2 linked regions of the Caenorhabditis elegans genome follow. The protein of the gene in region 2 purifies or fractionates together with the protein of the main gene of each other region. This does not show direct contact. Each region holds a gene or a part of one and is shown on either strand. Other genes may lie near its edges.

The links.
Region 1: the proteins of F56B3.4 (region 2) and C53D6.6 fractionate together in Caenorhabditis elegans (co-fractionation; one large-scale study listed by BioGRID). This does not show direct contact.

Annotation. Positions count from the first base shown.
Region 1 is NC_003282.8:9,027,141-9,033,457, forward strand, and holds C53D6.6 (HAT C-terminal dimerization domain-containing protein), read right to left. Parts: upstream 4,516-6,317; 5' UTR 4,507-4,515; coding exon 4,377-4,506; intron 4,333-4,376; coding exon 3,302-4,332; intron 3,258-3,301; coding exon 3,078-3,257; intron 1,217-3,077; coding exon 974-1,216; intron 925-973; coding exon 661-924; 3' UTR 540-660; downstream 1-539.
Region 2 is NC_003282.8:791,240-796,201, forward strand, and holds the start of F56B3.4 (RNA polymerase II-associated protein 1 N-terminal domain-containing protein), read right to left. Parts: upstream 3,037-4,962; 5' UTR 3,035-3,036; coding exon 2,204-3,034; intron 2,078-2,203; coding exon 1,959-2,077; intron 1,479-1,958; coding exon 1,400-1,478; intron 1,183-1,399; coding exon 674-1,182; intron 1-673. Other genes in the region: skr-18 (Skp1-related protein), read right to left, coding at 3,513-4,020, 4,124-4,167; F56B3.11 (Mitochondrial import inner membrane translocase subunit Tim21), read right to left, coding at 4,579-4,870, 4,927-4,962.

The sequences.
Region 1 (6,317 bases), 8.2 Mb from region 2:
CAAAAAACATTACAGCCAAACTATAAAAACAAAATGGTTTCTGTTGAAGTGAAGAACGACTTCGAAGAGAAATTCCGACTTCTCTGTGAGCTGAAATCTGTTGAGGTTTGTGTTTTTTATATTTTTAGCACAAAAATGAATTAGTGGACATAAGGGAGAATAGATGTCATATTTCAGAAAGAAACATTTGAAAAACAAGAAGAAAAGAAAGGTGACGAATATGAGAAGGAGTTGAACAAATTCTTCCGACAGCGGACTGAAAAATTAGAAATCGAGCAGAAACTGAAAGATCCAAAACTTGACAAAGCCACTAGTGACGAATTGAAAAAACAATGGCAGGAGCGAATAAATCGCATCAAGAAGTATATTGAGGCATCAGATGACAAATTGAAAGGATATGATAATCACACCCAGAAGATTGTTAAGAAGATTCATACAAATCGAATGACCGATTAAATTATTTGGACAAAATATTAAAATGTATGTAAAACCATTCAAAATTGTATTAATTAGTTGTATTCATTTCATTTGGAAAATAAAAATGCATAGTTTATTTTTGTCATTTTAAAGAAAGTAAATATTAATTTCAAATTCAATATGGAAATTATACAATCATTGAAGCATGCATTTCAGAATGAAAACAAGCTTTTAGATAAATTATCATAGAATACCAATTAATTTCATGTTCTGATGAAGGAATAATATTTTCTGATTAGTTTGATCTTCACAGCCAATTTGATGCTCGAAAAGTAGATTCTTAGCGGAAGTAAGATTTTCAGTATTCAACAAAGCACCCGGTAGGCATAATACAATTGAAGAGAGTTGGAATAAAAGAGGATATCTAGTTCGATTTTCTGCTTTTTGCCAAAACACTATAGGCTCCTCAAATGCAATGTTTGGCTCCGAAATCCATCGTTCTAGCTCCTGAATAATATCAATTAATGTTCGAAAATATTCACTGAAAGAAACATACTGTCTTAGCCATTGCTTGTGGGCTCACGATCTCTCCCTCTTTACAAGAATTCTGATAATTTTCTCCGTGTAATTTTTTGAACAACTCTGCGAATAGATCATAATTGCTTTGAACATCAGTTTTACAATGCTGGTTGTGAGTAATTGCAACATCTTTTACGTCTTCTGCATTCCTTATATTTTGTGCAATTTTTTCAAGTTTCTTCTGCACAATTTCCTTTGCTGTCGCAGGCAGTAATAATAACTGCAAAATAATTTTTTATAAACAACAAAATGTGCAGTTTTTAGTTTCAACATTACTTTTAAAAAGTAGATACTTTTAAAACTGTATTTTGAAACTCTCTAAAAAAAAGTTTTGGTATATTGGCAAATTTCGTGTCTGGTGATTAAATTAAAATTAAATAATTACATGTTTTTACTGTTTGAAGCCACTTCTATCTACAGTGCGTCCAACTTCTATAGCACCCCCCTCCAATTCGGCCGTTTGGAGCTTTTCAAAATATTTTTTGGAAAAGTGTTAGTGCAGTTCGATAGCAAATGTTGAAAAACCTTTGCTCCCCAATTTTTATCATGATATCTCAAAAATCACGGAAATTAGGTCAAAATATCTGAAAAATGGCCGTCCAACTTCTATAGCACCCCCTCTGATTTTTGACAAATTTCTGTAAATTCGGGGTTTTCTTCGTAGTTAATGAATTTATTTTGTAAATCACACCAAAATAATCAGGTGGTTTCACTTTCACATTTAAAAAATAAATATAACCCTTGGAAACACGTGGAATGCCTGGGATTGTCCTGGAACATACTTATTTGCTTCAGAGGCCATATCTCGGCTCCCAATGATTTTCGCAGCACCAAAATTGATCAAAATGTTCTTCTCCGTCTATTCATTACTATGTAATTAGTTGTAGAAAGCATTTATTCATATGAACCAAATGGTAAAGGGAGCAACTTCAGTGGTTTTTAAAAGGTTCGTTTTAACCATGAAAACAAGCGTTCGGAGGCGCAGAGATAATGGTTGGGTATACATTTTTGACTAAAAATTACTACATTATAGGTAAAATTAAAAATTATTTTACATGAACAACAAATCCGTGGAAATCCATGGGTAAATCAGATGCCAGACATCTACAATCGCAGGTTCAATGTTTTGTCTGGTAGCTTTTGCATTACTTGACCAAAAAAAGATTCAATGAGCAAATTCGCTAAATTTAACTTGAGTTATAAATACAACTAGCAAAATCGTCATTCGGAAAGGTATATCTTACTTTTCTGTCTAAAATTTTCGCATGTTAGCTTGAAAAAAAGACTTGCGGCCTCGCTTTGCCTTTGTCCTCTTTTTTGAGCGGTCTCGTGAACTCGTCCAAATAAAATTTCAAAGACTTCTAATCAAAATCGAAGCTTCAAAGATATTTAAATCATATGAGCTGAAATTCTGTACCATACAAAGTCAAAACCTTCAGCTCTGCGCCTGCGAACGCTCGTTTTCATGGTTAAAACGAACCTTTTAAAAACCACTGAAGTTGCTCCCTTTACCATTTGGTTCATATGAATAAATGCTTTCTACAACTAATTACATAGTAATGAATAGACGGAGAAGAACATTTTGATCAATTTTGGTGCTGCGAAAATCATTGGGAGCCGAGATATGGCCTCTGAAGCAAATAAGTATGTTCCAGGACAATCCCAGGCATTCCACGTGTTTTCAAGGGTTATATTTATTTTTTAAATGTGAAAGTGAAACCACCTGATTATTTTGGTGTGATTTACAAAATAAATTCATTAACTACGAAGAAAACCCCCGAATTTACAGAAATTTGTCAAAAATCAGATGGGGTGCTATAGAAGTTGGACGGCCATTTTTCAGATATTTTGACCTAATTTCCGTGATTTTTGAGATATCATGATAAAAATTGGGGAGCATAGGTTTTTCAACATTTGCTATCGAACTGCACTAACACTTTTCCAAAAAAAATATTTTGAAAAGCTCCAAACGGCCGAATTGGAGGGGGGTGCTATAGAAGTTGGACGCACTGTATTAAAATTTTTTGAAATTTTGGCAAGGACCTCAACCTGCATGTTAAATAGTTTTAAACAAAACTAACCTTTACTCTTGGATCGATAACAGTTGCAAACAAAAGTGTCGGAATTTGGAGATATCTTTTCAATTCTTCTTCAAGTGTCAATTTGATAGCCTTGCACATATCATATGAGTGTTCTGCCGAGTACTTTGAAATCAATGCAGAAATTAAGGAAATTATTGCAGAAATCCGGAATGTGTGTTGCTGTAACATCAATTTGAAAGGATATATTTTAATCATAAACTAACTTTTCCAAAATCGACGGCAGTTTTCAAGGGAGACAGTGTTCTCAGGATAATCTCCATAAGATCGTAATCTTGTTGATAGAGCATCAGGCCTTCCATGTCATTCATCAAAAATGTATCGAGTAGTCCTTTCAACTTAGTGAACTGCTCAAACATACTAACGACAGTAATCCAATTCAACTTGCCGGATTTGACAAGATCAGCTGAATCGATGGTCATATATTCTCCAATTAAACTCGTTTCATATACTGCCGATTCGTTGATTTTTTGAACGATTTTCTTGCATTTTTCAATAAGTTCAGTTCCTCCTGGAATTGTGTTAATTCCTGAAATAGAGGCAAGTGAGAGACTATTCCATGTACAATCGTATATATCAAATTCTAGCAATTGAGCAGAAAGCTTCAAGTTTGAGACTCCATCTTTAATCATTGCCACAACTTTGTTTCCGATTGAATAATAATCCGTAATGGATTTGATTGCATTTTCAATCTCCAATTCAGGATCTTCATGAGGATCAGAAATATGTATAGCATCCAGAAACCTTGTAACAATTGATCCATCAGAATTCATAAAATGACAGCTGATTCCAACAACTTGTTCATTTTTTCTATCGTCTTTGTTCCATGAATAGCATCCTAGTCCAACATATTCCACATTTCGGAGTTCTTCTCTCAGACGTTGCTCGTATTTGAAATGAAGACTATGTACCATTACGTTCATTTGATTTTTTCCTTTTGGCACAAATGTAGGACACACTTCATTCAGAAAGTGTTGTATTCCAGGACGTTCTAATGTTGAGAGTGGCATTGCATCAAGACATATCATATTTATCAGTGCATCATTGATTCGTTTTTCCTCAAAATCTTCTGCTGTCCAGTTGATAAAATCTCCTTCAGTTCCAGATTTATTCTCTGGAATTCGCCATTCCTCGCCTAACTTTCGCTTTTTCAATGGCTGAACTTCAAGACTTCCACCAATTTCAAGAAGTGTATCCGGATGATTTGCTCTTAAGTGATACAATATTCCACTTGTACCTTGAAATCGTAGAGTTAATAATCGAAGATATAAAATGACTCACTTGATTTCTTTTGTTTCTTTATTGGATGTCCACAAACAGTTTTGTTATCACCGGAACCAATCAAAATCTTGCACAATCGAGTTCCATCAACGAGTGGTGTAAAATAATCGTCATATTTTAAGTTCACCATTATTTTGATCTGAAAAATTGTGTGTCTTAAGGATAAATTGAAATGCGTGGTCGTCATAACATATGGTTAGACCAAAAACGCTCCAGAACATGCCATTTTGACGTGGGAGCTCTGAAAATGCACAAACTAACAGCAAATAACATGAGAAACTCGAAAAATTTACTTTCGAGCTGATCCGAACACAAAATATGTCTTAACGATAAATGGAAATGCCCCAATTTTTTGCCTCGATCATTCAAAAATTTCCTGTCAAATATTTTAAACTTATAGAATTCTTGCATCATATCTCTACAATAATTGAATACATATAAGTAAAAAAATTGAAATTATTTTAAAAACATCTAGTCGACTTGCAAAATAGTAAATACCTTCAGGCAGTGGATAAAACATTTCAAAAAGTTCCTGAGAAGTTTCATTACTATATTTGGGTCCTGAAATTAATTTCGAACACTTTGGCGCTACTCTACATTTAATAATTGGAAGTAATTTCGAAAATGGACATTTTTTTCAAAATCATTTACGAATAAAGCAAAACAATTTTGACGACATCGGTTTTTCAACATGCCCAAAATTGTTGAGACAAAAAATTCGATTCTACAAAAAATCATTTCTATCTATTCCGTCAAACACATAATAAGCTGAGAAAAAATTAGATAACTTTAACTAAAAATGCCGTCAATTAAAAAAAAAATTTGAAAACATTTACATCGTAAAAATGAAGACGTTTAAAAAGACATTAGCGATAGAAACTAAAACTAGTACGATAATATCTGTTTAATCGTAAATTCAAAGGCAAGTGGTGTGAAGTCTTGAACTATTTTGAAAGTTTACGGGCACAAATTTTATCATTTTAATTTTACAACTAAAATAAACCTTGCAATGCATTTTTATTACAAAATCTATTATACGTATTACGAGTTAGGTTTTACGATAAACTTACAAAAAATCGAGCAAAAAACCAATAAATTTCTGGTCGATGAAATGTCGTGTAAAGGCGAGTCGTAAAATGCAGTGCCTTTGTTTCTCTTTTTCTCTTCTCTCTCGTTCTGACGAGGCATTGGTCTTCTCCAGCCGTCCTCTTTTTTTCTCTTTTTCCGACTCGTTATTTGTTGACATCTCTCGTGTGCGTCTGTGTGTATGTGTCTGAGTGTGTCGAAAAAATACGCGTTTCTCTTTCTGTTTTCAATGCAAAACGGCAAGACGGAAAATACGTTTTTTTTGGGTTTCTGAACTAAATGTTGGGGGGAAAGTAACCAGAAAATCATTTATTCGGATAGATTTTAAATTTCAGTATATCTAGTAAAATTGGAAAGAAGAAGAAAACTATTTTTTGCAACTTTTGCTGAACGGAAAAAAAACCAACTGAGGAAAATTTTTTTGCGAAAAATAACAGTACCTGCATGGTCTCGTACCTTTAATGAGTACTATATATACTGATCTCCGTTTTACATCTGAAATGCATCAGTAAGAGAACAAAAAACCAGAGTGCGTAAAATGTTTAACTTTATTTGGTTTGAGAGCATTTCATATTGGAGGAACATTAGGGATGAAATTGAAAGTTAAGGTGTTTTTAAATAGATTTTTTCTCATCCATAATAATCTATAGTATTTTAAGCCACAGAGAAATGTATCATGGAAAGAAAATTGCTTCCTTCAAAATGCATATGCTGGCCTTAAGTTTTGGACATTAAGTAAATTCATTGTAGACATAAAGCAGCAAGGAAAAATGGGTGGATTTTGGAGTTATAAGCGCGGTTATTTAAATGAGATTATTCACAGTTGAAAGTTCGCCAGTGCGAATTTTTTTTTCA
Region 2 (4,962 bases):
ACCCGGTGTTTGCGTGATTTTGGCGCTACAGTAATCCGGATTACATTTATTTTTTGATTTTCCACATTTTCTGCGCATTATCAGCACGGTAATCAACAAATTTTTGCGATTTTCCAAATGTTTCACTCAAATTTTAACATTTTTATGCGAAATTGCGTAAGATCCAGTGTATCGGGGTACTGCAGCACGGTGTTTGCGTACTTTTGAAGCTACCGTAACTCGAAAATGTGGAAATTGAGCTAGAAGTGTCTAGTTTTGTGAGTTTCGACTCAAATTTGACCAGGAAATCGGGTTTGTGCTCAAAAACTGACGAAAAAAGAGATTTTCATGAATTTTGGGCAGTTTATCAGGAAATGTCGTAATTTTATTTTTTTTTTCCAGAATCTTCCATGATTTTTCGCCTTTTTTGCAAGAAAAATCTTGTAAAAACGCAATTTTCGGATTTTTTTCTAGAATTTCTGGGTTTTGTGCAATATTGCGTAAAATCCAGTGTATCGGGGTACTGCAGCACGGTGTTTGCGTACTTTTGAAGCTACCGTTACCCGAAAATGTGGAAATTGAGCTAGAAGTGCCTAGTTTTGTGAGTTTCGGCTTAAATTTAGTGAAAAATTCGATTTTGAGCTCAAAATTTAAATTTTTCATGATTTTTGGGCCATTTTTCCTAAATTTTTACCTATCTCCAACCGGAGAATTCAAATAAGCGGCAATCAAAATGGTCATTGCAAAATGTTCATCTCCCATCGAATATTGCTCATAATTTTTCAGCAAATTCTCGTAAAATGGCATAAAAGCGTCCAATCCGGCGACTTTTCCGCTCATTCGGAGTCCAATTTTCGCGTCTTTTGCCGCAGCCAAAATATATCCGTTTAAAATGCGATGAGCACACTCTGCGATGACGTCATCCGCCAGAATTTCTGCTCCAATCAGAAAAACTTCCGCGATGTGAACGTAGAATTCGTTGGGTTCGGCGAACGCGAAAAACGCGGATTTTCGTTCAGAAAACAGCAAGAGAGTCCAGAGAAGCGAGAGACGGACGATTTCCACGTCATCTGGGGTTACTGTACCGTGGCGGCGTTCGACTGCGTCAAGGACACGGCGAACTGGGATAAGTGTCCAGCAATTGTCTAAAATTGGGTTAAGACCCTTGCCGAACTCGTAGATTATCGATTTTGAGGAGGAATCCTGGAAAAAATTGATTTTTGAGAGGTAATTTAGCGATTTTTAGCAGAATTTATGGGATTTTTCTGAAATTTTTTTTTTAATATCCTGACAAAAATAGAGATTTTTCAAAGAAAATTTCAATTTTTTATAAAAAAAAAGAGAAAATCTGTGTTTTTTTTTTGTTGGTAAATTATCGATTATCCTGGGTTTTTTCTCCAAAAAATCAATAAAATATTACTGTAGCAATTTCCTCCAAATAAAGTGTCTTAATTTGATCGATTGATGAGCGTGCCAGTTCCAGAATTGGGTCGGGTGTGCTGAAAATTAGAAATTTTAAGTTTTTCGGGGTTACTGTAGCTTCAAAAATACGCAAACACCGGATATTACGAAATTTTGCACTAAAATCAGATTTTCTTTGAATTTTTGGGTTACTGTAGCTTCAAAATTAGGCAAACATCGGATTTTACGAACTTTTACACGGAATTTTGACTTTTTTAAATTTTCGTGGTTACTGTAGCTCCAGGAGTACGCAAAAAACGGATGTTACGAAATTTTGCACTAAACTTCGATTTTTCTGAATTTTTGGGTTACTGTAGGTTCAAAAATACGCAAACATCGGATTTTACGAAAGTTTGCAGTAAAAATCAAAAAAAAAAGGTTTCTGGTGTGAAAAAACATGGGAACCCCGCATTTTAAGTTAAAACTTCTCAGAGAACCCAATTTTTGGCATGTTTTCACTGAAATTTTTCGAATTTTCCGGGTTACTGTAGCTTCAAAAGTACGCAAGCACAATTTACCTTCCCGCAGAGGTTTCCGGTCGTAATTTGCAGTTATCGAAGAGTTTTACGGCGTTTTTTTGCTGTCGAGAGACCAAATTTCGGCCGAATTTCGCGGTTAGATCCAGTTGAACAGCGTCCTGAAATTTCTCAGATTTTCCATTTTTCACGGAAAAAAAATTTAAGCCGAAAATTTCAAAAATGTCAATTATTTTCCAGAAAACCTATAATTTTTCAGAAAAAAATCGATAATTTTCAAATTTTACCGTCGCCAGTCGATTATATTTCTCCTGATCCTCTCGATTTCCATATTCTTCCAAAACTTCCAACTCATTCATCATTTCCTCCACAACTTTTGTAGGCGGAGCTTGAGCCGGTGGCTCCGGAGCACCTTTTTGCTCATTTTCCGGCTCTTTTTGCTGCCGAGAAGCCTTGAATTTGCTGATTTTTTTGGGCTTTTTTTGAGTTTCCTCCGAGGCTTTATTTCCTCGATTTTTCAAAAATTCCAGCAATTTCGGATCGAATCTCTCGGTAATTTCCAGCTTCATTTCTTGAATTTTCTCAAAATCCAGAGATTTCAAATATTTCTCGTTTTCAGCTTGAAAATCGTCACTTCCCGATGGATTTTCAGTGGTTTCCTGCTTAAAATCCAGATTTTCCGCCAAATTTCCATTGATCCGGTCGAATTCCGCGGCGAAAAAGCTCTTTCCGCCTAAATTCGTCAGAGTTTTTGGATTTTCCGCCGAAAAATACGCAGAAAGATCCAGCGGCTCGGGGAATCCGTCATCTTTCGAGTATAATTGGAATTTCTGAAGATTTTCCGCCAAAATCTCCGATCTTTCCGCGAAATTTCGCTCTTTAACTGGGAAAAGCACGCCGGAAGCGGCCTGCTCCTCATCAAAATCGATTTGAAAACGGGCGGCCTGATCGCGGACGACTTTCGACGGCAATGAAGCAACTTCCTCGACTTTCTGCCGATTTTTCATCTTATGAATCTCGACACTCGGTTTTTTGTTCGCCGCCTCCCATTCTTCCTGCATTTTGAGCAGATCATCGTCGGTTTCCGTCGCCGTAGGACGTTTTACGTGTTCTGACATTTCTGAAAATCTAAATTTTATCGATTTCTTACGAAAAAATGCTGAAAAACACCCGTTTTTATCGATTTTTCCATTACAATCGGTAAAAAACCTGATATTTCAAAAGTTTGCGCGTCAAGTCTGTCGCCGGGTACGCAGACACACCATCACGTCAGATTGCACATTTTGAGAAAGAATTCTTCAAAAATGGGGAATTTTCGATTAAAAATCGCTATCATGTCTATAAAAATTGGAAGTTTTCACGATTCTAACGTAAAATTACTGGAAAATCTAAATCTCAACGATTTTTCGATAAAAAAAAATTCAAAAATAACACCGAAACACTGGATCGGACTTAGTATGAGCTGAAGAATATTTTAAAATAGAACTTTTATTGACGCAATGAAATTTTAACGATATACAGCACTAAATAGAAAAAAATCTTTTGCAATAAGACCGGCTTTATGTGAAATTGAATAAATTTGAAATGGAAAATCGATCAATCTGCCCAAGTATCAGTGGATGTAGACGGCTGCTGGCACGGCTCAGGAAGTTGGAAAATTTCTCGCATTTCCTCGGCGCTTTTCCCATTGATACGACTGGCGACTGTTTGGGTTCCATAATTCACGAGTCCGGTAATATCCAAATCATAGGCAGCTTTAATAACAGCTAGCAAGTTTCCCATCGGCAGTACACTGAAAAAATGTTGATCCCAGGACGGAATGACGACTTTCTTTTTGCCTTTTTCGGCTTTTGCAATCTCTGGATCGTCTCCCTTGTGTTGATCACACCATTTAATCAGTAGATCCAATGTGTATTCATGTTCATCAACAGGTATCGGCTTAATCTCCGCACAGTCTTCTTTATCATATCCTAGCTCTTTGATAGTTGTAGAAATAGTGCTGGAGAGCTGGAGAGCACGGATATCTGCCTGCAGCACCTCTCCATTGGAAGAAGCCAGTTGAAGTAGGCGAGGTGGTGCGCTTGGAGGAGCCGGCTTTGGAGCACTAAAAAAAGCGCGATTTCTGATTTTTTGAGAAAAAATTGCTGAAAAATAAAAAATTTTTAATGATTTTTCAATGAAAATTGGGAAAAATGCTATCAAAATACCTGGCTGGTGCACGTTTTTTATTGTTTTTCTTGTTCTTCGGCATCTGCTTTCTGGCCCAAATTTGATGTCTGAAATACACAAAATATAGGTTTTTTTAAAGTTTTTGTGTGAAAATTCGAAAATTTTCGATTGAAAATCGATATTTCAGCAATCAAAATTGGTAAATTTCCCGAAAATTGCTTAAGAAATCCTGTTTTTATCGCTTTTTCGCTAAAAACGTTTTTAAAATCGAAAAAAAAAATATTTCGAAAGTTTGTGCGTCAAGTTTGGCGCCGGGTACGCAGACACACCATCACGTCAGATTGCACACTTTCCAGATTTTTTTTGAAAAAAAAGTAATTTTCGAATAAAAATCGATGTTTAAGCTATTTTTTTTAACAAAATAATAAATCTAGATGCAATTTATTCAACAAAAAACCCTATTTAAACATAACAATCACCAGAAAACAAGAAATTATCGATTATCAATCAAAACATGGGTAGTTTTCGGTCGCCGCTTGTTCTCCACATACAAGAACCGCCACTGCCAATCTCCGTCTCGTTGCTCCATTTCAGCTTGAGCAATTCCCTCATCTCGGTCTCCTTTCACGTGGAAAAGCACCCGAATCCGCTGCATTCCGTCCTTCTCGTACTTGTGATGTGCCACGTGGCGGCGGCGTCCACGTGACGTTTCCTCGCCGAATCCGGCGATTGAGGCGCCGAATATTTCCTGACAACGGCCATCATCACGTACCAATGCGAGAGCTCTGCAAAAAATATTTGATTTAAATTGGTTTTTCCCGGAAAAAAGTGAAAAACCAACTTATTGAAAATTGTCTGCGGGGAATCTTGAGCGAAA